Linked DNA regions of Drosophila melanogaster. The protein of the gene in region 1 interacts with the protein of each later gene in a biochemical or structural test. Each region holds a gene or a part of one and is shown on either strand. Other genes may lie near its edges.

Evidence for each region.
Region 2: the proteins of Edc3 (region 1) and CtsL1 are reported together in a solved structure, tested with the Drosophila melanogaster proteins (one study listed by BioGRID).

Annotation. Positions count from the first base shown.
Region 1 is NT_037436.4:17,519,220-17,535,349, forward strand, and holds Edc3 (enhancer of decapping 3), read right to left. Parts: upstream 10,643-16,130; 5' UTR 10,250-10,642; coding exon 9,690-10,249; intron 9,622-9,689; exon of another isoform or gene 9,481-9,621; intron 9,402-9,480; coding exon 8,487-9,401; intron 8,425-8,486; coding exon 8,264-8,424; intron 8,202-8,263; coding exon 8,117-8,201; intron 8,062-8,116; coding exon 7,740-8,061; 3' UTR 6,114-7,739; downstream 1-6,113. Other genes in the region: Nedd4, read left to right, coding at 11,628-11,816. UniProt on the Drosophila melanogaster protein: In the process of mRNA degradation, may play a role in mRNA decapping.
Region 2 is NT_033778.4:13,955,212-13,972,548, forward strand, and holds CtsL1 (cathepsin L1), read left to right. Parts: upstream 1-5,969; 5' UTR 5,970-5,982; coding exon 5,983-6,054; intron 6,055-7,008; coding exon 7,009-7,125; intron 7,126-9,441; exon of another isoform or gene 9,442-9,707; coding exon of another isoform or gene 9,708-9,974; exon of another isoform or gene 9,975-10,275; intron 10,276-10,393; exon of another isoform or gene 10,394-10,484; coding exon of another isoform or gene 10,485-10,574; intron 10,575-11,543; coding exon 11,544-11,758; intron 11,759-11,818; coding exon 11,819-12,530; 3' UTR 12,531-12,770; downstream 12,771-17,337. Other genes in the region: mRpL53 (mitochondrial ribosomal protein L53), read left to right, coding at 4-197; CG33155 (uncharacterized protein), read left to right, coding at 206-388; Rpn13 (regulatory particle non-ATPase 13), read right to left, coding at 3,434-4,187, 4,357-4,877; CG42806 (uncharacterized protein), read left to right, coding at 9,708-9,974; PheRS-m (Phenylalanyl-tRNA synthetase, mitochondrial), read left to right, coding at 13,198-14,391, 14,461-14,628; St4 (sulfotransferase 4), read right to left, coding at 14,705-15,093, 15,143-15,474, 15,530-15,764, 15,832-15,916; CG18568 (uncharacterized protein), read right to left, coding at 16,462-17,337. UniProt on the Drosophila melanogaster protein: Important for the overall degradation of proteins in lysosomes. Essential for adult male and female fertility. May play a role in digestion.

The DNA.
Region 1 (16,130 bases):
GGTTATTCTTGATAACGCATCTGCTACATGATTGTCCTTGCCCTTTAGATACTCTACTGTAAAATTATATTCCTCTAGTTCAAGCCTTATTCTAGTTAATTTAGAGCTGGGGTTCACCATCGAGAATAAATATGTCAATGGTCTATGGTCTGTTTTCACAGTGAAATGTTTTCCGTAAATGTATGGTCTGAAATGTATTATTGCCCAATGAATTGCTGCTAACTCTTGTTCTGTTGTACTCTTATTGCTTTCACCTTTCGTAAAAGCTCTGGATGCATAAGCAACTGGGAGTTGGTGGCCATTATGGTTTTGAGTTAAAACTGCGCCACACGCTTGCTTGCTTGCATCTGTTGTTATGCAAAATTCTTTGCTGAAGTCTGGGTACTGCAAGAGTGTTGGGTTAATTAGCTGAGATTTTAAATGTATGAATGCTTTTTGACATTCATCTGTCCACTCGAATGGAACATTCTTTTTACATAATCTTGTTATGTGCCGCGAATAGTCGGCGAAATTTTTGATAAAACGTCTGTAGTAATTGCAAAATGCTACAAAACGTCTAGCGCTGTCCGCATCATGTGGAACTGGGTAGTTCTGAATGACATCATATTTTTTGTCATCCGGCAAAATTCCTTTGTCTGTGCATTTGTGTCCCAAAAATGTGACTTCATGCATGAAAAATGAACATTTTTCAGGATGTAACTTTAGGTTGTATTCCCTGCATTTACCAAAAACTTCAGTGAGGTTTTTAAGCATATGTTTTTCGGAACAACCTATGACTATTAAGTCATCCATATAAAGGAATGCTTGAGACGGTTCTATTCCGGAGAATGCTATAGTCATCATTCTTTGGAATGAATTAGGCGCTATTTTTAAGCCAAATGGCAATCGCGTGAAACGATATGAGCCATTGCTGGTTGAGAAAGATGTTATATCTCTCGAGCCTTCATCCAGTTCGATTTGATGAAAACCTGACATTAAATCAAGGCAGGAGAAATATTTTGCCCGACCAAGTTGGTCCAAAATATCATCTATTCTCGGTAGTGGAAATTTGTCAGCTAAAAGTTTCTTATTAATTTGGCGATAGTCTATTACTAATCTCCATTTCTTTTTATCAGAATTCGGGCTTGACTTTTTGGGTACTAATAGCAAAGGGCTATTGTACTGTGAAACTGATGGTTCAACTATTTTATCTTTTATTAATTTCTGAACTTGGGCTTGTATTTCTTCCACTTGACTATGAGGACTTCTATAATTTTTCGTGTATACTGGCTCATCATCTTTTAATCTCAACTGTTGTTTATACAAATTATTAACTGTTATAGGTTCTGATTCTAATGCAAATATATCTATATATTCGCTGCATATATTTTCTAATTGTGATTTAAACAATTCGGGGAAATTTTTCTTTAATTGAGATAAGACAGTTTTATTTCTGTGTTCACTATTTGCCTGAACTACATTGTAGTTCGAAAGTGGCTCATATTTTAGAGTGTCCATATTGACTAATTGGTCGGAATCGGTTGTATTTAAAATTCGGACAAATGTATTACTTGATGTTGCGATTGTATTTGCAACATAAATACCAGTTTGAATTTCCTGGTTTGGAATTAAAATGTTATCATCTTTTGATGATACTATTAATCTTCGGACAACTTGGGATCTTGCTGGTAATAACGTTGTGTTAATACCAGAGCTGTATGCTATGGGAATATATATTGGAAATTTCAAATTGTTTGGTCTAATTATAAACCAATCTTCTTCTTGGTTTAAATCGATTTGGCAATTATATTTTTTTATGAAATCTATTCCGATTATTCCATCACACGGTATTGGAAAGTTTTTATCTACTAAATGAAAATCGTGTGGGATAACGTATTTACCTGTCTGTATCTCAATAAAAGTCTGTCCTCGAGACTGAATTTTCTGTTGGCCTATGCCTTGAATGTTTATTTTATTGGTTATTTGAATATTAGAAAATTTGTCAGAGTTCTCTTTGAGAATAGAGATATCTGCACCTGTATCAAGTAGAAAAACTAGTTTTACGCCTGTTTTGGCATGAATGAATGTAGAAAATATGTTGAGATTATAATTGATGGTGTATACTCTACGATCTTCTTCTACTGAGTACCTAAAGGCTGTTGCGAGTTTCCCTGTTCTTGGATTACTCGTACATTGGCATTGTTTCTGTTGTAGTTGTTCTGACTGTTGTTACGGCCTCTGTTTCCATTATAACGGCCTCTGTTATAGCCATTATAACGGTTATTATTTCCATTATAGCGGTTTTGATAACCGTTATTCTGGTAACCGTTATTTTGGTAACCGTTATTTTGGTAACCGTTATGGTAGTTGCCTCTAATACTATTGTTATTAAAGCCTCTACCGCGGTTACTACCTCTATTGGCATTTCCGTATCCTCTATTGGGTCTGTTACCTCTAAAGTACATCACTTTATTGATGTCACCGGTAACTCTTGTACTCGTTCTTATGTATGCGCTTATCGCTGCATCCATAGTGGTGCAAGTCCCTGCTTCCAGTACTGTTTTGATACTTTCGTGCTCAGCACGATGTATCATGGTTTCAATTGCCTCTTTGGTGCTTAGACCAGTGGCATGTTCTAGAGGTATACCCTCATCGATATAGGAAGCTTCTAAAAGTTTTCTCAGGCTATCAACTTCAGCGGTAAATTGCGTTGCAGTTTTACCTCTCTGCTGAACTGTTGCTAGCTTTGCTTTGACATTACTGGATGTCTCACCGACAACTACTTTCTGCAATTTGTTTATAATTGCTGGAATTGTCGTTTCATTGTCAACTGAGTTCAAAATTGTGCCAACTATTTTTGACTTAATGACCTCAACTGCAATGTCTTCAAATGGTCCCTTAGCTAGGTCTACCAATTTGATTGCCTTAATGAATCTTTGTAAATGGATCTTTTGCCCATCAAATTCTGGCACTGTGCAGGCGACTTCCCTAATGTAAGACCTAATGGCAGCTGCTTCTTCTGCCATGGTTAAGTTATTTTCGGAGTCGGCTGCGTTATTTGTTTTATCGTCGTTCTTCAGCATTAATTTTGCTGGTATAGTTAGATCGTGAAGATCTTCCTCTTTAATGTCTTCCTTGACTATAGTCCTATCTTCCTCGTCAGAGTTAGTGCTGTCTTCATTCAAATTTATTCTTAGTGGGGTGTTTACTATGGTTGGAATTTCTATCTGGAGACTGAATTTATTTTTTATAAATATTAATTTTTCTCTTAATGTCACCAGTAGGTTCAAAGCCTTAGCACACTGTTTGCGTTCCAAATTCTTTCTATTTTGTTGGATCAACTCTCTGATTTCATTATAACTATTTACCAAGACTTGGGCATTCCTATTGATTGTTACAGCTTGTGTTGATCTGTTTTGCGTTAAGCACTTATAGGATTTTCTGAAATTTTCATTTTGATCTTTTATCTGATCAACAAGCTTTTCCCAGTCCATGCTGTGGTATACTCATAACTTCAAATTTATTCATTTGTATATATTTTTTTTTTAATGTAGATAAATTCAATATTACGTTTTATATTTTTTTTTTTATTTATTATTTTTTTTTTCATATAATTTTTCTCATATTTTCATTCATAATTGACTTTATTAAAGATCTTCCTTAAATATTATCTATACCGTTAGCAGTGCTACGGTATCGTTTCTTAAGACACTTGTTATGCAGTTTGTATATTTTTATTAATGCATTGGATACCATAATTAATGCAATTACAATTAGTATTATGGTTATCCAGAACAAGTCTGCATTTTGGACTTCTACTTTATTTATTACATTGGCTGTAGAGTCCACAGTTTTAGTGTCTATTAGACCCATTTTGGGTATACTAATTTTATATTTTGGAGAATAGAATAGAAAATTTCCTTTGTATATACTTTTATTTTCAGTTTTACTTATTTCATTTGTCTCTATAGACATTTATGTTTGGAATTATCTATTTATAAAATCTTTCAATGTTCGCAAGAGTAAAAAAAATTGTATTTTACATTGTTGCCTGCCTGATTCTAGCTATGGCTTCACGGGCCATATTGGGTTAACAGGGCATAATAGTATATGCTCCGTTTTACAATATTTCTTACAATTTTTCTTATCTATATATATTTTATATTTACTTTATATTTATATATATTTATTATTATATTCTGCTGTTGATGATGCTCATCAGGTGTCAGCTGGGCGTCGCCGGGGGTGGCACGCTGACACTCCCTCGCTGCTGTCTATTTGTTGGGTGTCAGCTGGGCGTCGCCGGGGGTGGCACGCTGACACTCCCTCGCTGCTGTCTATTTCTTCGCCGCTGAAGACGTCGATGGTCGCTCACAAGTCCCCAGGCAGTGGGGACTCCAGATTCCTTCGCAGCCAGGGGGGCAGGACTTCTTTGGTTTTGTTAATGCTGGTGCTGGTGCTGGACATGCCTGGTATTTTGGAACTTCATTAATTGTGGGTATATTTTTAATATTATCTGAGTGAGTTTTCTCGAGCTTATGGGTCTTTAATTCTTGCTGATATTGCAACAAGTGGTCTAGCTCTGCATGTAGCTTTAGAGCTTTCGACCAAACCGGTGGCGTTTGCTGACCGTATATTAGCCACCTTACGTGGGCTATACGTTTATTCAGCTTAGTTTTCAAACCGCCACGGTGTTTGCCCATACTCAATAGAACTCTACTCACTCAGATTTTTCCTTGGTTTTTGCAGTTCCATTTAATTAGTCCAGTCTTCTTCCAGTCCAGTGTTCCTTTGTTCCTTTGTTTTCACCAGCTTTGGTCAATTCGTCCAGCGTTGGACGACTGTCACGGTCGCCATGTAATGATGAACTCCAATTAAGAACACAAGTCCGTTTTAAGTTGAAGGCAGCCGTCGGGCTGACATATATTTATTCAATTTCTTCTTTTGATTTTAGAGTAGGCAGAAATGGTTCTGTCAGCTCAACGTCTACAGAGTCTCTCTGATTTTACAGTTTTTTATATATTTTGACTTAGGCTAATCCGCGTAGCTGCGCTGCCGGGTACGCCAGCAGCGGAGCGGCGTTCTTATGTATATCTTATATATCTAGGCTTATCGGGAGAGCGAGATATGTATGTACGTATGTAATATGTATTTGGTCGGCGTGTGAATGCTGACCATGCACTTATACTTTTTGCCTTCGAGTGGGTGATCATGTTACATCTGCCCTGGCCTAACTGCGTGCATAAACATAAACATAAACATAGCAACAAAGTGCTGCCATAAGTTAATATGCTATTTTATTTAATTGTTCTTAATATTGCATAGGCACATACTACACCACAGAATCGATGCCGCCGCGGGGGCTCAGATCAGTACAGTACATGCCTATATGATGATGTGAGTATTCGGGCCACTAATCTCTGATTACAATCAAGCAAATACCAAATTTAATCATCGATGACGGCTGTTCTTGGTTTAATTTTTTCGACCAGCCAAGGATTTTTAGAGTGGGAATTATGAGAGCAGTGTAAAGAGTTGTTTGTGTTTGGCCCTGACAGTGGGTAAGAATCGATCGATAATGCCAACTGATTTTAACTACCATATATCTATTAACAATACCTATTGTTTTATCTATCTACGCCTAAGTCAACACACTGTTCTACACACTTTTAAGTTATACACCACACACGACACACTCTGATAAGATATAAATTAAAACTAATCTTTATTGATCTAAGCGGAATGTAATAAAATTGCACTTGAATTATAGCTGAGTCAACGAGTTTCTTAAATTTCATTCGCAAGGGTTCATCAAAGTCATATTTTTGACTGGAAATCTTATAATCGTGCTATGCGAAGTATTCCTTTAAAGATACCTGGAATATCTGTTAACTCGATCAATAACAAGATAAAGGTAAGCCTAATGGGAACATATCAGTTTCAAATAGATAGTCTATGGTATAGTGAAACAATTCGGCAACATGGCCGGATGTACTTGCTTACAGATGCGTATGCCACAGCCCATCAAGAATTTATCTTTATCCTTTTCGCTTTCTATACCGTATAGAAACTATTAATAATTTATATTAACGCCATTAATATAGGACCCAAAATAAAACACAATTGTAAAGCTTGTTTTCTTCCATGAGAAGGCTTCTCGGTGTTGTTTTGTATTTTTTAATTTTGCTGTTACGTTGGAAAGGACTTTCTCTTGTATCCGTTTTTTTCTGCCCGATTTCTGGTTCCAAAAAAGAATTTACGTACAATTTTTGTCTTTTAAGTATAAATTTAAAATTAGGTTTTCATTCTTTGTTTAACAATTTCAATTGGCCCAAAAATAGATGTTTTTTTTTAATTTTAAAGCGTTACCAAAATCTGGTTGTTTGTTGTTTCTCCTTGTCTTGGTGTTAATTTGTTTGGCTGTGAAATCTGTGGTTACTGTGGTATTGGAAAAACCTTCTCATCCTCCCTCGCCACCAACATCCCTTTAAGGTCTGGTCATCGTTTCTACTCCTAACGCAAAACAGTCACTGCGGGATCCGCCTGGCGGCTGATTGATCCGCATTCAACTCTCTTTTTACAATATAATTTGATGGGTTTGGAAATTGAATTTGCAGATGATCATCAACATGATTGGAGTTTACAACTATAGTTATTATTTATACAACAAGTAGTTTCAATTTGGGTTTTTTGTTTTGAGTTTTTGGTTGCCTTGCTGAGTCGCAACCTTCTAAAATTTTGCACTATTAGATTGGATTTAATCTTATATAAAATTAATCGCTCTACAGTTTATATTATAAGTATTGTGTTGTGGTTTCTTTTTAGTATTCGATGGGTAAAAAATTATGCTCTCGACTTTGTTTAGTTTCCCTTAAAGACACATCTTAATTATTTCTATACATAATATAAAGTGTTTCTCATTTTATAAGTTTTGTTTTGTTTTGTTTGTTATGGTCTGTTAAACTTTTAAACACTGTATTCTTACGAAACTTACTTAACTAATCTGATTTGATTTATACTTGGATTTGTATTCCATATTACATCGTACAATAGTTGTTGCTTTTGCTGTTGATTTAATGCTTAAAATTAGACATTGAATTTGGCATTTATTGCGCATACTTGATAGTAATTAACATGATCTTATCTTTCCCCATAGAATTGTATAGTTATTTACAAACAATTTCTCGCCTGATTTGTTGTTTACGATTATGAAGACCACTTGCAGGAAGGACAGTGAATTGTAAATTAAATTAAAACCTTAGGAAATTTTGGATTGAATGTTGGAAAAATTCCTTAGAGCGTGCGCCTAAACTAAAGCTTTATAAACTTGTAAATGCTGGACTAGCTTTCAAAACAGAGGGCTGAACAAGAAGTGTCGTTGCTTAAAATGAAAAAAAAATCTATAGGGTACAGTTGGAAACTAATCATAGTTTGGCACTTGGCCGGCAGCTTTGAATTAATTTAGAAAATATAGATTATAATAACTAGGCGTATCTAAAGGGATGATGCGTGAAGTAACCTAAAAACTATATGTGTACGCGCCGTAGAACAAAATGTTTAACTTGAGTAATATATGAGAGAAGAGTACTAAGAGCTAGATTCACAGGAAACTGGACTTGATGATCATCACAAGTGTGCGGGTGTGTCATTGTTATTGTTTTTTGTTGTATGTGCTTATTCTTGTTTTAATGGATTGCAGTTGTTGCTGATGCTGCAGTTTGATTGCTGTTGTAAATGTTGGTGTTTGTGTTGTCGTTGTTTCAGTCCTTTGAGTGAATCGGTATCACATATTTATGTCCATACGGACTTTTGTACTTAATGCCACAATCACGATAGAATTTATCCGGTATACCTAGATTACATAAATACAATTTGCCACAATTGTTCGTTGATGCTGCTGATTTGGTAGCCGATGCTGCTGCCGAAGTGCTAGCAATGGGAGTTGGTGTGGCGGCAGCCGAAGAGGATGATGATGTTGTTGCTGTTGATATGCCATTTAATGGTAGTATGGGTAGTATTGAGTACTTGATAGCAACCTCATTAATGCCACACGGCGGCGGGTCTATGGCAAGCACCGAAGCGCTAAAAAATACGTATAACAGTAATTTACTTTCGACATTAAATGGGGTTCACTAACCGATTTACACTGAGCCATTTCCTGATCGCATCCGATAAATTAGCGGTGTTAGTTGATAATATCACAAGATCTGGCGTGGGTAAGGCTGAAAAATGTAAATAGCTCAGTAATCGATTATTTATATTTTTTATTATATTAGTAACCTACCGTCTACTGAGTGAACTATGACATTGTCGGTTGCCTTGAACAATGAAATCTCTGGGCTGCTGCTGTTCTGCTCCAGCAGTTTGGCCTGCTCCACGTACAGCAGGACAGTAAGCCCATGCGAAGCCAGCTGGCGACCTGTGGCTGCTCCAATGTTAATTGTTCTGAAAGGAATTATGTTAGTCACTGCCTTGAAGTTATGTCCATATACGTTTGATTAAATCACCTCATATTTTTGCCGCCATCGCAGATGATGGCAATCTTCGGCCACTGATGGTTGTTGGCCGGCGTCAATCGCCTGGCGCCGCCCAGCAGTGTAATGGCCAGATCACTGGCTCCGCGCGCCAAAATGTCGATCTGCCTCTGCAGAGAGAGGCCCGCCTTATCGGCACTTATCTCGATTTTATTCCGAACGTAAGCCGGAATCGTCGGTATAATGAGACCGTCGTCCGTCACAAAGTCCTGGCTGCCGCCGAACATGCTTTCGATCTGGCGCAATTGTAGTGGTTTGCTGGCCAGGATGTTCTCGTCGTGCCGATACTTCTGCTCTGGCTTATGATGATGATTGTTCACAATGTGCCGCACCACATCTGGTTTTTGGGTCGTCGACTCGATGTCGTCCCAAATTGCCTGCTTGTCGAACAGCGCTAGATTGCCCTCAAAATCGAAATCCTCGTGGATCAGCGGATCGTCCGCCTCGCTGCCAAAAGTCAGTTGCACCTGTTGCTGCCGCATGCTGCTCTCCCTTCGCACCCTGTTCCGCTTGTTCTTCCCGTTGCCGTTGCCATTTCCATTGGTATAAGAACCATTTCCGGTGCCATTTCCATTGTTATTGGCATTGCCATTCCTTCTTACATTTCCATTTGTATTCCCATAGCTCGAGGCTGCCGTCTGCTTGTAAAATCCATCTCCGTTGCTGACGATATCTATGGGTTTGCTGCTGCCCAACGACAAACCAGTTGCCTCGCCGCTATCTCCGCTGCTGCTGCAGTAACTCTCCCGGGTGTTGCTCACGTAGGAGCCCAGTTTCACCTCGACCTTCGGCGGTATCATGTTGCCAAAAAAGGCGGCCACGCTGTTGGGAGTCGTTGATATCTGCGGCTGCTGCTGAGCGCTGGACGCACGGGATGTTTGTGGTGTTCTGGATGACGAAACAAATATAAAAGTTAGATGAAACCTATTTTAAATACGACGCTCAGTTGGCACAAGACCTATCTGAAACGACTGTTGCTTTTTATCAGTAATAAAGGTAATTTACTCATTTCGTATCTCAAGGTTGGTAAGTTTAAACATAAAGATGGCTTCAAAATGAAATGAAATAAACACAATCGTGCTGACTGCAAAAATCTTCATACTTTTTTTTTTTATAAAGAGCTAACAATTAATTTAAATTATTGGCATTGCACAATCGTTTAATGGGCCATATTACCTAAGGGTGCCATTTGAGCCGTTGGTCTCGATTAGCTTCAGCTGATGCATCTTATCGCTTAGCGCCGAATTGAAGTTGCCACGTGGGCCCGAAGAACTCGATGCTCCGCCAGCCGCTACCCGTCCATTGTCGTTGGCCCTTGACCGCGGCGTCGATGGCAGATCCTGTTCTCGTTCCTGCTCCTGGAACTGCTGTTTCTGTTGCTGCTGGAGTTGTAGCTGCTGCTGCTGCTGCTGGAGTTGGAGCTGCTGCTGCTTGCCCAGGATGTTGGAGAAGTGGGGCAGCTTGACGGGCGTGGGCTTGTTGACCACTGGCGGCGGCGCCGTGTGCCCATCCAGATCTTGCTTTGCGGGCTCGATGAGATCGATGCTGCGAATGTCCGTGCACTTGAGGACCACCTCGGCGTTCTGCTTTCGCAGCGGCACGCCATTGCGGAAAGCCCTCACAATGGTGATCTCCTCGGCAGAAATCTGCTTGATCAGGCCCTGGAAGACGCCCAGGACCTCGTCGCAGGCTATAGACACTGCACAGCCGATCCAGTCTTGATCCGTCGGACCCATGTAATCAGTTTTCGATACTCCCTTTGCGAATGCGACAACACGTTGGATCGGCTTGTTCTGCCCTGGCTAATGGTTGTTCGAAATGTTTGCTGGCCCGCGCAGAGCTGCTTGTTGTTTTCGTTTCTAATACGCAATTTCGCCACTAACTAACTACGCACCACGCACCTCTCTTCCTCTTCTTCCTGCTGCTGCACCGCCGTTGATTCTAGTGTTTTGTGGCTTAAAGTCGGGTGTTTTTGAATTATTTGGCTCTGCGGTCAAGGGGTTCGGTATTTTGTCTCTTTTAATCAATAAATGCACCAACCGTTGCAACACATTGACGCTAAAACTTATTGGATTTCTCGTTTCATTGGGATTTTCACTGCTTGCGTGTGGCCGTTCGTTGGTGTTCAGATAATACCGAACAATACCCAAACTAGCTGCGTGGCAAATTAGTTTACTTAATAAATTTATAATAATATACATATTTATAATAACTACAAATTTCATGCTTTACGGAAACTTCACCTTATTTTGATAAATATTTGGTTCAATAAAAGCCTGCGAGCCATTTTATGAATTTAACAAGTGCTTCCCTTAACTGTTAAGGCTTCTGGGTGCTGTGGTATGTTCTCAGTGCGCGTACACGGTCACTCTGGCAGTTTTGTTCTCGATTTTGTCGCCGTTTTGTGCATTTTTCCCGTCCGGTGTTTAAATTTTATTTAATACTGCGCGTGCGACATATATACAGGCACCTATAGCCGACCGATATCGGCGATTAAGGCATGTGCGCCGCCGAAGCGGTCAAAGTGATAATCGCTTGAATAGTGAGCAGTGTAGAATTTGCCGTGTGATAGAAGTACGTGATGATTTTCCGCAAATAGTGGATAAAGGCGAGCCCACACGCATACCACCGCAAAATATATACATAAATCGGGCGAAAATATAGTGGCCCGTGTTTGTGCGTGTGTAAACGTAAGTGGAAAACTTGGGCGAAACTTTATGCTAACCATAAATGGTCTACAAAGACATGGCTTCGCGCCTGGCTAATTATCAAGAAAATGTTTGGCTTTTGTGCTCTATCACCCACACCTCATTCACACAACACACACACTAGAAACACGCTTGCACGGGGGCAGGGCGGCAGACAGAGATGGCATCTAGCACAAGTACCGTTGTTCACTTTGTTTGCTGTCTTTGTTGTCTGTTCGCTTTTCTTTCCTTCGCTTCTGTACACCCTTCCCCCTCTTGTTACCTTATGGCAGCCTCCTCTTCTTCTTCTTCGTGTCATTTATCGCTTAATTTGCACTTCCGCTTTGCACATATTCACCCTCTCTCCTTCCGTCATTCTTTCATTGCAGAAGCTTCTCTAAAAGAAACAAACAACAACAACACAACAATGTCGGCACGTTCCAGCGGCTTGGTGGCCGCGGCGGCCCTTCCCGTCCCGTCGTCTTCTTCCTCGGTGGCCGGCGGCGACGTGCCACGCCCGCCGCCCCGCCGGCGAGCGGCCTCTGTTGCGGGACAACAGCAAACGCGCCAGGAATTTGGAAATGGTTACACTCCTCGCAGATCGTTGGCAGCAGTGGTAAGTTTACATAAGTGCAGGTGACGACGAAAAGAGAGAGCTTTACCTTGAAGGACAACTTAGGAACTCTTCTAACATCTTAGGAATTTTGTAGGAGCACCTTATGGTTACAACCTTATTTCACAACGCATCCAACTCTGATTGAAAAATTTCATTCCATTTTTGATAAAGCCAGTTAACTAATTATGGGTTATATAAACGCGTATGTATCAAATTAAGTTATCATAACACCAAATAGTGACCGTGGCACCTATATGTTTATCAATTTTTAATAGATAGTAAGGTATTACTTACTATGACATCTTATAAGATACTCTTATCAATTGTTTTGGTTTCGTTGCAAACTGACTAATCAATAAATGTATCTCATTTTAAAGGGCATACCGAAATGTTGTCTTATCAAAACTAAGCCAACCAATTCCTATAACCTTTTATAAGGAATTGCCCACAATGTATCCACCATTTTGTTGGTGTGAAGATTTGAAAAGTATTTATCAACGGGTGGTGCTGGGGGATTTGGTCGCCCTTATCAGTGCCTCCGCTGTATTTAGTGTTTCCATTTTTACGATGTTTTCACTACTAATCTAATCTGCAGATTGCCAAACAGCTGAGTCGTGTAGATGGGCCATGTAGATTTCACTCCCCTCATGGATGATAAAGTGGGATATATGTATGGTGGGAAAAGTAGGGGATCTACAATTCCTTCAGAAGCCGAAAAGCACGAAAAACTTACGAACTGTTCTTATCCAATACCTAGCTTTTACGGTGTAAAGGTCGTTGCATTTCGTCAACCATTAAGTTAGATGTAGTTGTATTTCAGGAGTGACTTCCATAAGTCTTTTTTTAGGAGGGCCTTTAATACAGCACATTACATTTTATCGTTTAGTCATTGTTTGCTTGTACCAATTACTTTATAATGTTAAAGAAAAAGTAGCTTTTTTGCGGATTTTTTAAAATCGAATAACATTTCTTGACTTGCACTTTCCGAAGAGCAGAAAAGTGCCAAGAAAAGTATTAGGAAGCCGCCAGAAAATAAACTGGCATCATCGTTGTTTACTTAGTGTCTGGAATGGGCTTTTCTATTGTTTTGCTCACTTGTATAAACAAATAATTCGCTCGCCATCTCAGGCCGAACGGAAACTAAACTAATTTATTTATCTTAATTTGCCAAAGATGCTAGCCACTTGAGCAGTCATCGGCATCTTCGAAGCTAATTTAATTTATCAACACAATTCTTGGCCGCCGCCTCTTGAATGTTGTGTGTCTACACTTTATGGTTTTCTGGCTGCACAGAGAGAAAAATATTGTTTTAACTTTTAATACCTAGGCTATGTTTAATGGTTTATAAAAGTATTTTAATTTCTAACAGAACTCGCAGAATTATATTATTCATAGTTTCTAAACGTATTATGAACTGACATTTTGTTTTGTGTTTCTTTTACTTTCTTTTTTAGTATCCCAGTGTTGGTTGTTTGCTCTGTTTGCTTTCACTCAATGAGCGATTATTTGACGGCACTTCAATTCTGTTTGTCGAACTCATTGAAGCGTTGTCAGAATGGCTCGAAATTCCTGTCCAAAAAGTGGGAGGTGTATGAATGAATGGCTTATCTTCATTAGTGCTTTTTTTGCCGCAAAAGTTGTATGCCCCCGCTAATTGAGCTCTGTTATTTGGGTTATTTAATCCAATTTGCACGTCAGCCGGCAAGCGGTGACGTCGGCCAATCGACGCACTTGTAAGAACAGTCGACGTCACAATTGCCTTAGCGGATAGCCTTAATGGGCCGCTTATCAGTCAACAGCTGGTCAATTACATCCATTGAATCCATTGCGTCAGCAGTCAGAACATTCTCATGTCTATTATAAGTGATTATACGCTATTTAGCTGAACATTATTAATGGAATTGGAGGGATTCCCAGCCCAAAATACAAATTTCACACAGATACGCACGCACACATAGATAGTCCACTCACATCAACGCACGGCGCAGCCGATCAGCTGTTTTTGTTTTGTTTTGCTTAAAGACACTTGTTCGATGGCAGCTGTCAACAGTGGGAGTGAGAAAACGCGAGAGGAAGACAAAAAGAGTACAGGGCTAAGCTGTCATTTTAAAAAGCTTTCAGCCAACAGCTTGTAGCTGGGGCTTCAGTGTTGAAAAATGTGTTCAGTACTGTTTTGGTATTTTTTTTTTAAGATTAAAAACTTTCCTTTTTATGGTTAATTGGAGCACTTTTTGTGACAATTCATTAAAATATCTATGCATGAGTATTGCAAGTCCACTTCGTATTTTGCTTTTTAATATATTAATATTAGAATTTTTCCCGGAGAAGCCGACCATGAGGTAAATAATTTACTCCGTTCCATCGGTCACACTAGACCCAATGAAAGCTCCGCAATGGGGCAACCTCTTGGCCCGAACGCGCTGGCCACACTTTTCAGTGGAGCTGCCTTCATTTTAGCTTAGAACGCGAAAGCGCCAAGTTCCGTGTTTTGCGCTGCGGCTGCCGACAAGTGTTGCTGTTGCTGTTGCGCTCGCACCCACGACCGCACACACACTCGCTGCGGGAGCGAGCGAGAGAGGCAGACATTTACGCAGAACATGTTTTCGCAATAGTGTTGGTGTGCCGTTTGTTATTGTTGTTATTGTTTCCATCGTTTAGGGCCGTTAATAAAAGATAAATAAGTGAATAATTGAATTATAAATATTGTAGAGTGTACCGCCACACACACACAAATCGCTGGATTATATAGATAAATTTATTGCACAGTACCCCTGAAATGTGTTAATTATATAAAAAAAAAAGCAGTAAATAAGCGTACGTACCGTAAAGCAACAGTTCTCGCTCGGCACAATCGAGAAATCTCGAAATCACATCAAATGCAGAAGCATTTCCCCATTTCTTTCGCATTTTTCGCGGGGCCCTATTAGTCATACAGGGCAGAAAAAAAAGTTGGAATGTGAGCCTAATGCTGCCATGCCCCCTTTTGGCCCTAACCAACATTGCGTATTCGCAATAAACATAATAAAAACAAAACGGCAATTGTTGTGGAACCTGTTCCCTTTTTGTCGCCGTATGCAGCTTGCAGCTTAGCAAAAAGCAAAAAAATCAAAAAGCTCGTCGAGATACCAAAATAAATCGTGTGTGCGCCAAAACCGTGAAAATCAAGTAAAAAGAACGCAAAAAAGGCTGCAAGAATATGAAATTCCTTTTTGACCAACTCGTTTTGAGCAGTTAAAACCGCCAAACGCGGCCAATATTCTGATGCTCTGTGTGTTTGTTTATTTTATAACCCTCGCAATTTATTGTTCAATTTAGTTTGAGAGGCGTGCACGAAAATTAACACAAACGCGAAACGTAAACAGCGGAAGAAAAATCGGCAGTGAATAAAGTCCAAATCGGAGGCAAAACCAAATCCAAATCCCAATCCCAATCGCCATCAAAATAAAGTAAAAATGGCCGAGTCAACAACCACATCGCCATCGGTGACGAGCGAAGATGGCCAAATCCATGGCTGCAATAACAGTGATGTAAGTAACTGCCGAGAGCAGCGCCTCTCTTCTCTCTCGTCACTACGTGAAAATGGTACATATGCAAATGCTCGAGCCTCTGTGTGAGTGTGCTCATTTTCTTCGACCGCTAATTGAGCCGCCTTTGATGTGCCTCACGTGCAGCCCGGCCCTCTGCCCACCGCTCAGTAATCCTCTCTGCATTCTCCGCTAAATCTCTAGAGATTTTCCGGCTCAAGGCCTCCCCGGTTAATGAGATTTTTCGATAGATATTGGAAAATATCAAATGAGATCGGTAGAGCGCAAAGTGCAATTGTATAGGATATCTGTCTGATAGAATAAAAATAAAGTATAAATATTTAGATGAGAATTTGGCCTTAAAGACCTGGCACCATCCTTCAATTAATACAAAAAAAAAAAGGATATTTAATTTAATTGGGAAATTTTTAGATTCCACTTAATGATAAGGAATAAAAGTTCGAAATAATACACGGAAATACACAGAAATATGTATAATTAATTTTCGATGGCCCTGAGATGCAGTAGAAATGTACTATTGACCGTTGAAAATTGCTGAATTTTTATTTCATTAGTTAACATTTTAACTAATAATTTATCTTCCCGATGATAGAAGCCTATTTATCGTACTTACAGACGTCATAGACATTCATATATAACCGTCACATTAGAACAAATTATTTATAGCCCTAAATTTATTTGACATATGTATGTACATATATGCTATGCCTTATAAAGCGAACACTTTTTCTATATTCTTGTAGCTAGTTCTTTCTGGTTATTGCTTATA
Region 2 (17,337 bases), on another chromosome or scaffold:
CAGAACAAGCCCAAGTCAAGGAGATCCGCTTCAACAGCGATAACCTAAACACACTAGAGCTGCTGCAGCTGTGCAACAAGCACGTGTCCAGCTTGGCACCGCGCGAGGAGATCACCAACAAGGTCCTGACCAAGGCGGAGAAACAGAAACTAGCAGGAGGCGCCGGCGGCGGAAAGAAGGCAACCAAGAAGAAGTAACCATCAGGATGGTGAGGAAGCACAAAGGAACACTGGCGGTGATCGAGAAGATCTACCAGGATATACCCGCATTCTCCGACATCTTCACCGAGGAGAGCTTCTACATGTTCGCCTTCTGTTTCGTGTGCGCCACCATTCTGGTGGCCTTCATTCTCTCCCGGTTCATCACCATCAAGCCCGTCGATTTCTAAGCCAATTGTATTGTTCAATTCCGCACACGTACTTTTCAAAATATATATACGCTCTAACATGTAACAAACACTCCGCACTGTATTGTCTTTTTGGCCCGACTGTGCAAAAGGGCAGCGCTCGATTCGATTCGGTCAGCCTGTCGTTTGTTTCATTTTTTTTTCGCCATTCGAAACCAGTTTTTCGGTCCCTGGCAAACCGGAAAATCATCTGCTCCTGCTGCTGCTGCAGCGGCTGCTGTTTGCTGCGCTTGCTGATGTCAGCGGATCGGAGAGCCGCCTGCCGTCCCAAAGCTTATAATCACAATGGGGCGGGAGGAGCCAATGGTAATTGGACCGCAGGAAGTCGACCAAATGGGCCATGCAAAGTGGACGGTGGACGTGGCTGGGGTGGACCACTACAGACTTGTTCATGAATTGTGGCATTAATTTGTTACTGCTCCAAGTGAATGATCATCTGCATTCTTGTAATGACAACAAGGATGCAACAGGCAGTGGAGAAAGCTTCTCTGTTGCCAAGACAGCTGTTGAGATGAATTGAAGTCTTATTCTAATGGGGGAGCAAGGAAGAAAGTGCACTGTGCAGTTCAAGCTTTGAGCTAAAGTTTTGAAATGGCGCGCTCTAAATGTGTGAATATGTACGTATTTGCGACGAAATCGATGGCTGCAACTGGCAACAATCTGTTGGAGTGTGGCAGCTGCAAAAATGGTTGGTGAAAGTTGCCCCAAAAAGCTGCGGCACCCTGTGATTAATAGAATTCTGTTCAGAGTGCCCCCAAGTTCAATGTCAGGCTGCAAGCTTTCTCCCCGCCTGTTCGCCAGCCGTTTTGAAGGAGTCACGTCGTAAAAACTTTCACCACCCACTTTTAAATTTTGAAGTTGCGAACGAGGTATTATAGCTTCGATCATAAGATTGCAAATTGGAGCTTGCGCATTAATAACATAGCAAATTTAAGTTTTTGAAACCGATAAGTTTTTTATACTTATAAAACCTTTTTTTAATATGTCGCTAGAAACGTTAAAAAGCTTTGTTTAATTATAGCATAAGTCCTTACAAATTGGTTTTAAATTACTGGTTTTTGTTATAAGTTAGTAACTCATATAAATTTTAACTCCCCAATGTTTTGATAAGATTTTAATCGGTTTAGGATTGGATCATATAATCCTATCGCAATAACTGTATAAAAGGGTATTATTAGTTTGTTAAAAGTTCAAGAGCATGTAAACCTGTCGACACGAACTTCTTCGTCGATTCGTGACGTAATTCGCGAGGGACGTGGATGGCGGGGATATTAACGAACGAAAGTTCTATTGGAAGCTAAGGATGTGACCTTTCTACCAAAACATAAACACTGTCTGTACGGTCGTCCCTCTCGCACCCCCGCGCTCACACGCTTGGCGCTCTTGAAAATTTCCCAAAGCATATGCTCAGGCGCCATTAGTGTTTTGGTTTCCTGTATTTTTGTTTTTTTTTTTTTTTTATTTTGGGGCACTTCCATTTTACTTGCAGCTCCTGCAGCTGTTCTGGAAGCCTCCATTTGCCGGCAAATTGAAAGATTCATAATTTTGTACTTACCTTATCGCAAAATTGCAGCTGACTTTGGTGTGTGTGTGCGCTTTTATCAGCTTTATCAGCGGCAAATCAATCGTTTTTTTTGGTGAATTCCGTTTAATGGAGGGGAACTCATTAAGGAGTTGAGTGGGGTTTGCGTCTCGACTGGATTTAAACCGTTGCGGACGTTACTTTTCCAGCGCTAATTGGAAGAAACGAGAAAGATAAGTGCAGGAAATGGAAATGGAATTGGTTAAAACGCAGTTTGTGCGGCTGCTGTTGTTGTTAGTGTTGCCAGATCGTTGCGCCGGAGATATGCATGAAATTGCGAGTCCGGGGAGCTTTTTGTTTACTTTGCTATTTGACAACACACACTCTTAAGCAGCTCCTATTTTATTTAGTTTTATTTTTTGCAAGCTTCCAGGCCTGTTTAACAGCGCGCGTGTGTGTGCGTGTGAGTCAAAGGTTGTCGGTGTGCGTTAGGCACTCGACTCTCTCTCTCTCTGTCTCACTGCCCTCTCTCTTCGCGCTTTCTGTGTTTGCTTTGATTTTTGTTTTTGCCGCGGCTTTTAACTTTTTTATGACAACTACTTTGGAGGGAAAAGCTTTCCCCACAGCTCCGCGAAGCAGTCATGCAAAAAAAAAACATACAGGCTGCCACTAGACACACACACCTTCTCACGTCCGCCAAAAGCACCAACACACAAACACACACAGGCACAGAGATTGCTGCAAAATGAAAGCACCAACAACAACAGATACAAAAACATCCAGCCCGCAACGCAAAAATTGGCGAAAAAATATGGCAATTACTGCAGATCTGGATATATCCGGGTTTGATTCGCCTGGCGGAGATCGCTTGAGATCGTTATGTATGAGAATTGAGAGTCAGCTTCGGAAAATTGCGAACGCGCGAGTTTTGCACAAACACAACTTATTTGCTGGCCGTTTTGGAATTGAATAAAATAAATATTGTTGCGTGTGCCTGTGTGTGTATATATCTGTGTGAGACGGCTCTCGCTGAGAGAGCGCGCAATTCGCGCCAGAAAGGGACGACCAGTGTGTTGCGATGAGAGAGCGGGGCAGCGAGCTTTTGTTAGGGGGACACCAACAAAATGACCTTGTCGGGATTAATATTACCGTTACTTCCATATATCCCCCCATTATTAACTTCAAAATTTAAAATAAATTGTACACGTTAGACTTTGTTTTTTTAAATTAAATTAGGTAAGCCAAAAACCCAAGTATAATGAGTATAATGATGCATTCTGAAAAGAGCTGGACGAGTACTTACCAAAACGCGTATCCTTTTATTAAAGTAGTAATATTTTAAATATAAATTAATAAGCCGTTTTGATGTATATCAAACACACAATTAGATAGATAACTACCGATTAACTCCCATTTGAATTTATTTAGCATCCAAAAATCACTCAGCACATGAAAAAATTTGCTTTCGGATTCCATATCAATGACTACCAAGCCGCACACGTAAGCTACTTTTGCTTCTCCTCCTGTTTTTCGGTAGCGGGATCTGTGTTCTCATCGCGGGCCACTGAAGTTGGGGTTTCGGGATCGCTGGCCTTCTTCTCGCTGGCGGAGGGTTTGCCACCCATGGTGGCACCGGGGGGCAGACTCTTCTCCAGAGCACGCACAAAATCCTCTAGATTGCCAGAGAAGGCGGCGGCCACTGCTTCGTTGGACAACTCGAATTGCTTGATCACAGGTCCCAGCTGGGCCGATTGCAGGGCACTGGAGAACTGGGCCAGAGCCTGCTGGAACTGCGGGGAGGTGATATTGTCCTTGATCTGCTGCTTGCGATCATCGTCCACATCCTCCGACTCGGGCAGGTGCACGATCAGCGTCTTGACATGCTCCGGATCGGCAATTATCTGATTGATGGCATCGGCGCCGGGTAGGGCCGTCGATAGGTCAATATTCAGGGATCGTCCTGCGCCATGTTCGGGGGAGAGATTGGATAAGTAGGCTTGGAATGGATTGGCATAGGCTCCGGTCGATTTTGACGCCGTTGTGGTCGATGTGGTTGAGTTCTTACCGGGGGCATCCGCATCAACGGAGGAGCCGGCACCTTCGCCGACCTGCGAGTTCACATTGCTGCTGCTGCGGCTGCTGCCCGATTTCGATGGAGCGCTCGGAGTGCGCGGCACACTGACGTTTTCGGGCGTCTGCAAGGCCGATGCCCCACCGCCACCCGATGAGGAGGTGTTGCGCGACGAGGGCGTCCGGGAGCTGCGGAGAATATAGAAAGGAAAATATTGAAAAAGGGGGTGAACTCAAGTTCTGGCTTCATTCCTTCGATTACATGCTTATAAACAATAAAAACGATACCCTGTAAGTTAAGAAGCTATCTACTTGACTAGTTCTTGGACACTATGGCTGCAAGGGTTTAAATGCTCACTTCATTTGGCCCAGCAGCGAGCTGAGACCACCCATCTGGCCAACGCCGCCGAAGAGCTGCATCAGCTGCTGCTGCGACATGTTGTTGAGCATGTACTGGAGGTCGCCGTCGTTGCTGCCGCCGCCGCCGCGCTGGTGGGCGGATGGAGGGTTGTTCAGCAGCTCGTTGATGCGGCGGCACTGCTCGTCGTCCTTGTCCGTCTTGGGCTCCTGCATCCAGAAGAACATGCGGCGTGTCGATGACTTGAACTTAAGCACATAGACACGGCCCGTCTTGCACTGATCGACGCGCTTGTACTCGAAGTCATCGGGGAAGACGATGAGATCGTCCTCCACCTTGCCGGAGGTGCGATCCTTCCAGCAGAAGTGCATCAGGCCATCGTCACTCTGGGTCATGTAGACCAGGCCCTTGCGCGGATCCGGATGCACCATCTTGCCCACCATGTTCATGCGACCTGCGCGGAACTCCACCAGGTTGCTGCTGTTGCTGGAACTACCCAGTCCACTTTGTCTTCCAAACATGATGCGGGTGCTTCTTGAGAGCTGGCGAAGATTGGATGAAGAACGTATTGTAATTACGACTTTCTTTGGCGCATAACTCGAAAGTGTTTTATGGTGCCGTGATCGGTTTGGGGTTATTAGTAGTCGCTGCACTACTTACGGGATATATAATGCGTTTACTTTGTTGAGTTTATCAAAAATTCAGTGAATCGTCAATTCCCAATGACGAGCAAAATTTGTCTTCTTCTTACCTCAGCAGTGTTACCATCAACGGGTGAATTCTAACATTTAGTATTTCAAAACACTGTTGAACAAAATTCAGTTTAGACATTTGTTGTATAATTTAAATTGAGTTCGTTGAGTGACTTAGAAATCTTTCGATTGCAAAAGTAACAAGAGAGGTATAGTTTTTAGTTATTTAACACTCATTATTAAATAAACATAAACTAAAAAGCTCTTGCATATATTTAGGCTGACCAATTATTTCGATTTAGCGACTGAATTTGGCCGTTTTACACACAAGAACTGCATCACTGCCCACGCTGTTATCGATAAGCCGTCTGCTCAGGCAACTTCTGGTATTTCCAGAAGATTCGGACTGGTCACTCTGTCGGAGATTTCTTGTTTAAACAATTTCTGCTGGTTTTCATTAAACAACGAAAGGTCTTTGGGACTGGATCATCAAGAGCGACTTGTTAAATACAATCGGTTGACTTGCACATTAGTGTTGTTTCAGCCAATTAAAAAGAGTGCAACAACAGTGATAAATCAGTGAATTTACTGCATTCCTTGCGACGCAATTCCGAGTGGTAAGCAATATATGTAGTCTTTTTAGTTATTTTCGAGTTGAGAACGCAAATATACCTGCCCTGCATTAATGCCGATTAATTGCTTCGTATTGACTTGTTGAATCTAATTGCGTCATGTCTGTGTGGCGACTTATTTACACTTTAATTGCACTCCACAATAATCAACAGTCGGCATCTTCGTCTATGCCCGTTTTTATTGCCCCTTTTGCTTTGCGCTTTAGATTCTGTTGCGCTTCTTTGTTTAGATTTTGTCCAATTCCCCTTTGTGCTGACCCATTTTTCTAGTCTTTGTGGTTTTTAACTCACCTGATAGCCAGATGAATCACCTTGGCGTTTTTGAAACCCGTTTTCGCCCTCGAACTAGGCACAAATCGCAGAGGGCACAATTGGTAAATAACAACTTTTATCAAATGCCTCTCACGTTTCTCAAAATGGGCGCAAAAACAGCAAGACAATGATAGAAAAACAATAAGTGAAGCAAATCGCGCAAAAATGGCAGACTTTGAAAGCAATACGAAGCTGCGAGGCAAAGTGGAATGGCCGATAAGATAACGCATCGCCATCGAAAAAATAAAAAAAAACAAATATTAAACTATATTGTTTATCACAAAGCAAATGTCAATATATTTACAAACGCCCCGCAAATCAGTCAAGTTTTATAGAAATAATTTTTATGTCTCTATAAAGAGAATATTTTACGCTAAAATCGAGAGAAGCTTCTTTAAAGGATCAAATTTCTCAAATTTGAACCGTTATTTATTCTTTCATTTTCACTCTTTTCTATGCTTACAATGATATATTTAAAAACTAGTTTTTCAAAACCATGTCTGTTACGAATTTAATAAAGAATTAAAATAATATATTTACAAAGCTTCTATTGCTAGATCTCAGATTGCTTATAGTTTTATACATTAAGTTAGCCTCAAATAAATAAATAATATTAATAACCTTTTTTTTATTATAAATTTGCAATAAATTGCAATTTGGTGCAATAAATTCCATATTTTACCCAATAAATATTAAATATTTTGCAGTGATTTTGATCGTTAGAAATTTATTAAAATATTGCTTAGGCTCATGACAAAGTTGCTAAGATAAAACTAATACTTTAATAGCACAAATTATGCTAATTAACCACAATTTAATAGTATGAATCATGAACAAGTGCAAGAAACTGACTTTATTCACAACTTTCCTTTATCGCTCGAGCAGCTTAGAATATGTATTTTACTTTAATTCGAAGTTAGTGAGCCAGCCCTGATATTTTGCAATCTGGTTTAGTGGCTTCACGTGACCGACACTCCGATTGTTAGTTTGCTTACTAATTGTGTGATTTCTTGCAGATTCCAGAACAAATCACAATGCGCACAGCTGTTTTGCTGCCACTTTTGGCCCTGCTGGCGGTGGCTCAGGCCGTTTCCTTCGCCGACGTGGTCATGGAGGAATGGCATACGTTCAAGGTGAGTTTCAACCGGATCATCTAGGGATCATATTTAATTCGCCAGGCCGAAGAGGCAGATAACAAGTGTTCTCCGGTAACAAGGGCTTGATGTGTAATGATGATTAATCCATTAATTTTTTTTTTGGGCCTTTGTCTTCTGTCCGACTTTGTTTGCATAGTTGGACGCGCGGCATTCTTCCGTTTGTGACGATTCCGCACTTCTGACTTCTGAGTCAGCAGCCATTGCGAGTGTGAATGCACTGCTGCGCGGCTGCCTCAAAGAGACGGAAGGAGGATTCAGATAAGTCCAAAAGTCTAGGCTGTCGTCCAGTCACATGCCGGCTCACATGACCGCAAGCGGCAAGCTGGGCTGCTTTGCTTAGCCCATCCGTAAACATCGGCTGGATGGGCAGATAATCCAAGTCGTTGTGTCGCCCACTTTCGCTACGCTCGCGGTTCATTTCCCGCCGATAAGCCGTGCAAGACTCAAACTGGTCCACTGCCGGCCGACTGATAAGGCGCGGGTCGCATATTTGCCATCACACTTTTCGCAAGCCATGTTTCCTAATGCGACTTCGATTTTTGCCCCCTTCTATTGCATATATATGTGTGTCCATGGTTCCATTGATGATTGGGCCAATCATCCTTTGTCTCGCAGCCTTCACTTGCAACTTCGTCTGCTTATCAATGGTGGATTGTCTATTGATTAATTGAATGCGCCCCTAGTGTCGTCTAATTCTTATCGCCAACAGTCAGGGGTCGTGATTTTTTCCATTATTTTACTGAATAGTTCCGTGCCAAGCGTCATTAGCCCCAAATGGGGGCGTACAAATAATAATTAGCTGTTTGTGCAGAGATCTCATGTGATAAGGGGGATATATGTACATCTCTATATATGCATATTGGTTTAATAACTTTGGATATTTTGCCTTTGATGGTTTTATATTCACTTTTCGAATTCAAATTCAAATGCACCCGCATATGCAATATATGCATATAACTTTATTTCCCTTCCTTTTTTTATCTGCTGTTAAATATCATATTCAATTGAGTGACTCATTTGTTAGAGTAAGCACAGAGTGGTGTATTAAATTATTGTTTATAAATAACAAAGTCTGATCAACTGAAAGAATAGGAATCATATTTATGGAAAGAGTTACTCATCCTTAATTAAAAATAAAAAGAAAATCAACTAAACATTTGCAATTTCCCCACTCATATATTATTTACCTAACTAAATTTTCTTTGATCATCTAATTTAGTTTAGATTTAGTTTTCTTTTTTTTTTCAAAATAAACTCACAATTACTTTACATTTGCCATTTTACATTTCGAGACCGTTAGGTGTCATGTAGAATACTGCAAACGCTCGGTCACACTGCTGCAAACAGTGCTACCCATGCTTGCTTGGGGAATGAAAGGCGCGCAATTTAAATGTGATAACGATGCCAACCATTAGCTCTCACTGCTTATAGTTAGTTAATAAAAACGACATTATCTGTAATGTGTGTGCAGTCCAAAGTGCCACAGTTGTCGGTTGCAAATGCACAGCTGCAAAAGTCAGCGTTGAGCAACTGTGGCACTGATAAGCTCTAAAATTCCAGATTAATGCGTTTTAATTTAAGCAGCTATTCGCATAGTTCGGCAAATATTCAACAACAATATTTAAGAACAAGTCGTGCGGGGGGCCGCGAGCATTTTGGAAATGACGCGCTACAAATCGGCGTTGCTTATCAAATTGCCATTTTTCGCTGGCATTTCCGAGAGCCGAAAGAGATTTCTAGCATTAATTCCCCGAGTGACAAGTGCACAAACAAATCGGCTGCCGTAAATAAACAAGCTGGGAAAAATTTCGCTGACTTGCAAAAGCAGCATGCGGCTCTTTTCTTACATTTTTTATTAAAGATACATAAGTTTCTGTTTTTTTTTTCGTTTTTTTTTAAATCTGTTACTTCTGCTAACCGGTTGGAGCAAACATATTTGAATAGCTCGCCTGAAATCCTTATAAATCAAAATGAAACCGGTTCGCCTTTTTGAGCAAACCCACAATGCGCGCGCTGCAAAACAGAAGGAAATATACGAAAAAGCATAAGAAACAAGAAATATATAGAGTACGCCCGCCTGCCATCCTCCAAATTGGTTGGCCTACGTAGATTGGGCTCTCATTTCGATTTCGGCGATACGAAGAAAGAGTGTAGAGTGTGTTGTGTGCGTGTGTGAACTCGGCTCTTTTTCGCCCCGCCGTCATGCGATTGAGTTTGCGTTTGCGAGCGGACCACCACCATCACCACCACCACCACCAAAAGCGAAGCAGCCAGCTCTGTCGTATTTTTGTTATTCCCGAACCGACGCTCCACGCCAACGGAACGCTCGAGCAGCCAGCGGCAGGCAGTAGCAGCAGCAGTGCAGAGCGCAATATATAGAACATTTGAGAGAAAAGAAATAAAAGGAGCCAAGTCAGACGGGGCCCCCAGCGGTGGTAGTAGAAGTACGGAAAAGCACGCGCGTCATCGTAAAAAACGTGCTACGAAATCGCAGGGAGACGGGCGGTAATAGCAAATAAATTACATAAAAACCACGGAGGAGCAATCACAGCATAAGAATGACCGATACCAGTGCAAATAATTTGGATGTATCGGTGGATGTGGTCTGGCCGACGATAATTGTCCTGGCCATGCTGGTCATAAATGGCTTCGTTTTCGCCTACATTATGCGCAAGCGGCGGGAATACAAATGCCAGGAGGAGGAGCTGCAGCAACAACAACAACCTGTTCCACATTCCTCCTATGCGGCCACTTCGACAACGGAACGGCATGCGGATGCGGATCAGGAGGACGATAGCTGTGCCATCGAGATGGAGCGACTGTAGGGATGGAGATCGCACTAGCTAAGCTCTCTGATACTCAACTACTATCGTCCAAGCTTCTCAACTGCAACGAAGTTTCCTAAGCCACATATGTAGTATATCTAGATTGATAGATACAAAACGTATACGTCGAGTGCCTGGATATCACATCGGATCGCACGTGCATTTAATTACGGTGTTTTTAAGTTGTTAACTCTATCTGCATATATCGCAAATTCAAATTTTCTACAAAAGTATACAATAAATGTGTGAATTTTATCATGCGGCAACGAGAACCAACGACGTTTGCAAGGAAAATCAATAGGTCAGTGTGCCGGGAGGCGCCTCTTTTCTGCCGTTACCACCTCCTCCCTCGAAATCACAACGGGCGGGGTTTCATTTTGCTGCAAGACTCGAATTCGATTCAATTATGTCAATTATAGGAGTCAACCACGGACCAGTGGACCCCATCCGGTCCATTTGGGGCGACAATTGCTGATGCTGGTCCGCTTTGATGTCCAAAAGTAATTACACATGCATGTTTCTCACATGACAGCGCCACTCGACTGTTCAGTTCAATGTGCCAAGTACCCTGGAATATTGCAAAATCTACTAAGACTTGTGGTGAGCCACTTAAAAAGCGATTAGGTTTGGGTTTATACCCATATTTCACTGAGAAAACATGCCACTTTGAGTGCGTTGAAGAGTCGCAAAAAAATAACCAGTTTAGCAATAAACACTTTTGGAAAATGCATTTCAGTTTAGCATGTTTGCTATTTGGATATTCGTGAGCAGTAATAATGAGTTTTGTTGAATAATTCTATATACTTAACTTAACTTTCATAAACTTTTCGATTCTATGCAAAGCCGCTAATTTGGTATTCAGACAAGAGGAAGTCAATTTTTATTCACAAATTTCACTTTGAATCGAAAACTACCCCCATATAGTGGCATTTGCCGAATCTAATGGATAGCAACCTAGTCGACTTCTTGCCCTGGCCTTTCAATTCCCTTTATAGCTATCATTTGTTTAGCGTTCGTGCTATTTTCGTGCTGTGGCTGTGTCAATATGCGGGTCGGACTAACAAACAACCCCGAGCTGGGAGAGGAGGTCTCTTATCCACGGGACCACTGCAGGCAGATGGAGCGCATTTCCTCGTGCTGGCCTCGCTTCTCCTATTCCTACCTGCAGTTTGGCTCGTTTGTTTACTACCTGGAACATTAACACCCGTTTCAAGTTCCTGTCGTTGGGCAATCGTTAAACACAATTTTATGACCATGTTTTATAGATTTATAGAGCTTGCTACTGTGGCCGTTCCTCTAGAGCGTTTCGCTCGTGCCAGGTTGACGGCGCTGTGATAAGGTGTAATCTGCAGATTAAGAACTTTTGCCTCAGCGATCGTAAATCCATTTTACGTAAAACATTTTATTTGATTTTTAATAGAGTTCCCAAAAATGCGTCTAAAAAGTTAACTTTTCATTTGGTTGGCTTTATCTTATCTTGAAACAAGTACACGAAAGTCAATCGATAGTAGCACTTACCTTTGATAAGAGTGCATTATCTAACTAATACTAATACTTTTCATTATGCAGCTGGAGCACCGCAAGAACTATCAGGATGAAACCGAGGAGCGTTTCCGCCTCAAGATCTTCAATGAGAACAAGCACAAGATTGCCAAGCACAACCAGCGATTCGCCGAGGGCAAGGTGAGCTTCAAACTGGCGGTCAATAAGTACGCCGATTTGCTGCACCACGAATTCCGTCAGCTGATGAACGGCTTCAACTACACTCTGCACAAGCAACTGCGGTAAGTTGGGATCGTTAAGGATTATAATGTGCACATATTCAACTTTGCATTCGCTTTCAGTGCCGCCGATGAAAGCTTCAAGGGAGTCACCTTCATCTCGCCGGCTCATGTGACGCTGCCCAAATCTGTGGACTGGCGCACCAAGGGAGCTGTGACCGCCGTCAAGGATCAGGGACACTGCGGCAGCTGCTGGGCCTTCTCCAGCACAGGCGCCCTCGAGGGTCAGCATTTCCGCAAGTCCGGTGTCCTCGTCTCGCTGTCCGAGCAGAATCTGGTCGATTGCTCCACCAAGTACGGCAACAATGGATGCAACGGCGGTCTCATGGACAATGCCTTCCGCTATATTAAGGATAATGGAGGCATCGATACCGAGAAGTCCTATCCCTACGAGGCCATCGATGACTCGTGCCACTTTAACAAGGGCACAGTCGGAGCCACCGATCGTGGATTCACCGATATTCCCCAGGGTGATGAGAAGAAGATGGCCGAGGCTGTGGCCACCGTTGGTCCCGTTTCCGTCGCCATCGATGCCTCCCACGAGTCGTTCCAGTTCTACTCGGAGGGCGTCTACAACGAGCCGCAGTGTGATGCCCAGAATCTGGATCACGGTGTGCTGGTCGTTGGCTTCGGCACCGACGAGTCCGGCGAGGATTACTGGCTGGTGAAGAACTCGTGGGGCACCACCTGGGGCGACAAGGGCTTCATCAAGATGCTGCGCAACAAGGAGAACCAGTGCGGCATCGCTAGCGCCTCCAGCTATCCCCTGGTCTAGAGCAGAACTGATGTAGTTTAGCCCCAGCATTCATATGATATGATTTAGAAAAGAAACAGAAAAGATACCAACGCAAGCATCTCAAAAATGAACTTTAATAATTTAGCCCAACCTCATATTTAATGAACTAATTTTGTAATGGGTCCATTGTATTCGCGTTTCTCTGCCATCATGTATGATATAGGTGAACAACAAATCTGTTGATGTTTGTAGAAAAATAAATAAAAATTATATAATTTTAAAAATTGAAGTTTTTGAATTGGGAGAGAAGTTATTTTGGCAAATCAAAGTTTTGCAGTCAACTAAGTTTGGTTTCTTTTCACTCAAGACATCCCTTAAAAATATATTTTATGTATTTTGCTTTGAATTTGTAATATTTGATTACTTATTCACAATTTTTAGTTTTGATTTAAAAAATACATTTCAATTCATACAATTTCATACAATTTCTGTTCAACACTTTCGCTTTCCGGCAGATGGCGCCAGGTGGTTATCCAACAGCTCTGTTAGTGTGCGCCTAACAGCACAGTCCGTGCTGCTGAAGCCTTGCGACTGCTGTAGAAAATTATCGATATGTTAACATAACATCTGATAACATAACATAACTTCCAAGTTATAACAAAAAATGCAATAAATAGTTGCATCGAATCAATAAAGTCCCTCCAATATGCTTCTGACGCTTCGAGTGCAGGGAGCACGGCACTGGTTGAAGTCCACCCGCTGCCTGGCCAGCAGTGCGGCGCCCGCGAAGTCGCCGTCATCGCCACCGCAGCTGGAGGTCAGTGGAAGCACGTACGCCACCGACGGATGGACGAACGTAACGCCCAAGATACTCTCCTACGTGGGGGCCAACAAGCACCTGCAGACGGACCACCCGCTTTCCATCATCCGCCAGAGGATCGTAAACTACTTTTATGGAGCGTATCGCAACCAAAGGGGCAATCCACTATTCTCCGTCTATGATCAAATGAATCCGGTGGTTACTGTGCAGCAGAACTTTGACAATCTGCTAATTCCCGCCGATCATGTGAGTCGACAGAAATCCGATTGCTATTACATCAATCAGCAGCATCTGCTGCGCGCCCACACCACCGCCCATCAGGTGGAATTGATCTCGGGCGGGCTGGACAACTTTCTGGTCGTGGGCGAGGTGTATCGACGGGACGAAATCGATAGCACCCACTATCCGGTATTCCACCAGGCGGACGCTGTGCGGCTGGTCACCAAAGACAAGCTTTTCGAGCGCAATCCTGGCCTGGAACTCTTTGAAGAGACGTGGTCGGGTACGCTGGCCGACCCCAAGCTGATTCTGCCCTCATCCAAGTTCATGGACCAAACCAAACAGCCCTGCCACACGCTCGAGGCCGTCAAGTTGATGGAGCACGAGATGAAGCACGTGCTGGTTGGCCTGACCAAGGATCTGTTTGGGCCGCGCATCAAGTACAGATGGGTGGACACCTATTTTCCCTTCACCCAGCCCTCCTGGGAGCTGGAGATCTATTTCAAGGACAACTGGCTGGAGGTCTTAGGCTGCGGCATCATGCGCCACGAAATCCTGCAGAGATCGGGCGTTCATCAATCGATTGGCTACGCCTTTGGCGTCGGCCTGGAGCGACTGGCCATGGTGCTGTTCGATATACCTGACATCCGGCTCTTCTGGTCGAACGACAGTGGCTTTCTGTCGCAGTTTAGCGAAAAGGATCTGCACAATCTGCCCAAGTACAAGCCCATCTCCCACTATCCGCAGTGCACGAATGACTTGTCGTTCTGGCTGCCCCAGGACATTGAGGTGGATGCCGGCTTCTCGCCGAACGACTTTTACGATCTAGTCCGCTCTGTAGCTGGTGATATGGTGGAGCAGGTTGGTCTTAGCTATCCCAAACGTATCATATGTTACGAGTATTTCTCATATACTTTACTTTTCTTACAGATCAGTCTGGTGGACAAGTTTAAGCACCCGAAAACGGGGAAATCGAGCGTGTGCTTCCGCATTGTTTATCGCCATATGGAGCGCACCTTAACCCAGGCGGAGGTCAACGAAATCCACAAGCAGATCGCTAGTGCGAGCGTGGATAGTTTCAATGTGCAAATACGTTAGTCATAGTCTAGTTCCGTTTCAATTCAAAACCAAAAAAGAAAAACACCAGTAAAGATAGCCAACAAAGTCAGGTATTTCATATGGTCTTGAATGATTTAATATTCTGTTCCACCCACTCGTTGGCGCTCTTCAAAAGCTTCGGATTCTCCACGAACTCCTGTTGCGGCTGATACGCTGTCTTGGCTCCGCTGCGCACGAATCCTGCCTCTCCTTTGTTGAGAACGCCAACGGAAGCCATTTCGTGCATGTTTACGGACTTGTTCTCACGGAAGCTTCTGATGCTCAGATGATCGAGTAGCCTATCCATATCCTCGGGTTTCGGTGGACACTCTAAGAAGCTGGCTATGCTGTTGATTGCACCTGGCAGATCAGCCAACATGTCTTCGTAGCGCAGAAAGAGTACATTGGACAAATGGGCATGCTCCCGCGCCTCCTTAACGTGACTGTAATAGGGCAGCCAGGGATCTGAAAGATAGTTGGTTAAGGATGGCAACTCCATCGAAGGATCACTTACTTAATCCGTTTTGGAAATAATGCCAGTAACGCTCAAAATCTCCGACGTATCCTTGGGTGCGGAAGAGTCTGTTCAAATGGTAGTAGGAAACTGCAACATCCTTGGGATCACGAACCACATAGATCACCTTGCACTTCTTTTCGAGAACACTAGGCGGCATTAGAGAAAAGGGGAAATGCGTTTTGATAAACCGTCGCTGCGAGCGTGGTATTTCGCTCAAAGCCTCGTAACCCGGTCGAGCTATCTTCTCAATGAACTCCAGAGCTTCAGCCGAGTCTCGGTTTTCCTCCTGCAGCTCTTCCTTAATTTTGGGATGCACAAAGAGCGGAAATCTAAGGGCGGTTGGAGTTCACTTAATTAAGATAGGATCGCGCGACAAGCACTCACTCAAAGAATGGAAAGCGTTCGGTTAGTGGTCGCTCCTGGGCATGCTCAAAATCCAGCCCATTGGCCACCAGCCAAATGAGCTCCTGCGTCCAAGTGGTGCCCGATCTGGGCACCGTGGCTATCCACACGTCATCCGGCCGTGCCTCAAAGTTGTAGTACCGCTCGGCCTCGTCCTTGTACTTGTGCGGAAAGAAGTAACCCTCCGATCCGACCTGAACGAAGCCAGTTCGCTCACCTGTTTTTTTTTTTTTATTTTTTATATACTAGGTGCATCACAAGCCATTTGCGCGCTATAAACATACCATGGAAGTGATCCAATAGCTCAGCATTGGTGGACTCCTCCACATCGCGAATTTCGTGTGGAAACTTGAGAGGCGTATTTTCCATTGCTCGCGCGATCAGTTGCCAGCGTTGACTGAAGAACCGCCCGTCATGAAAGCGTCTTGACCCCGCTTTCGGCCCAGAGAGAAAGTGTCAGCTGCTGGTGCTGGTGCTGGTGCTGGCCTGGCTAGTATGGCACTCCATTGCCGCTTGGCTAAGCTCAATTTAAATACGACTTCAGTTAATGTCTGTGTACTTGCTGACGCTGAATTTTCCCCAAAAGGTGTGGTTCCAAGCCATTAGTTAGCTCAGACGGCTTTTATTGGATCATAAACAGTGGCGATATAATGTTGTTGGAGTAAAATAAGCCTCAAAGTTATAACCTAAATAACCAGTTCTTAAACGTATATATATATATATTCTTGATTTGTATCGGCAGTTAGTCTCAGTTTTGAAGTCCAAAATTCTTTTTTTTTATAGAACATACCACTCATATATCATAAAACCCAAGCACCCATTAAAAGTCATAAATGACCATTGAATTGAAAAGGACTACTACTTTACGTGCACGACACAGACAATTTGATATAGAATTTCCTATAGTTTTTAGATTATTCGTTTAGCTCGACGTTGTCGAAGAGCCTGAGCAGCTCCTCTTCCTTGCGCTTGATGCGATCCTGGATGGTGGACACGGACTCTGATTTGGGCATAGAGTTTTGGACCCGGCTGAAGAAATCGTCCATGGACTTGAAAACGTTCTGATACTGATTATCATAGCGAGCGTACTGGTGCGTTGGTGGCTTCTTGGGCGCCCTCTTGGTCACGGCATTCCGGAACGAGAACTCCTTCAGTTCGTCCAGATGCAGTTCCTCCTGCTGCTCGTGAGCAGCAAACCTGCGCGATGATTGTCGCTCTCTTTCCTCCTTAAGCTCGAGCCGTTCCCGATCTATTTGATCGACCAGCTGCGCGGAGGGGCATACCATCTTCACCTCGCCAAGGATTAGCTTATGATCGAGGATCTCAGACTCATTCGTCTGGACGCCGGTCTCCAGTAGCTGCTGAGACTTGGACGCCTTCGATTCTGACTCCTCCTCGACATCCGGCAAAATATTGGAATCCTCTGGCACTGGCTGCCTATTCTTGCGGAAATTCGAGTTCAAACCCACGCCCGCCGGTTTGCTGGGCCAGAGACGATCCCGTGCCGCCTGTTTGGCCGCTTGCGACATCACACGCTGTTTCGTTGGCTTCCTGACTTCCGTTTCGGTGTCCTTGGCCAAGGGCACCACTAATCTGGACTTCTCATGTCCTCTCGCTCTCTCGAACTTCTGCTTGGCCGTCTGCCTGTTGCTGCTGGCCCTCAGCGAAGAGGCTACCGTGGGCTGGACCAGCCGAGAAGGTGGATTATGCTTGCCAAGGCGACGACCGGTCTGCTTCCAAGCCGCATCGGTTCCCCCATCGCCCGCTCCGCCGTGAACAGTTCGCCGTGT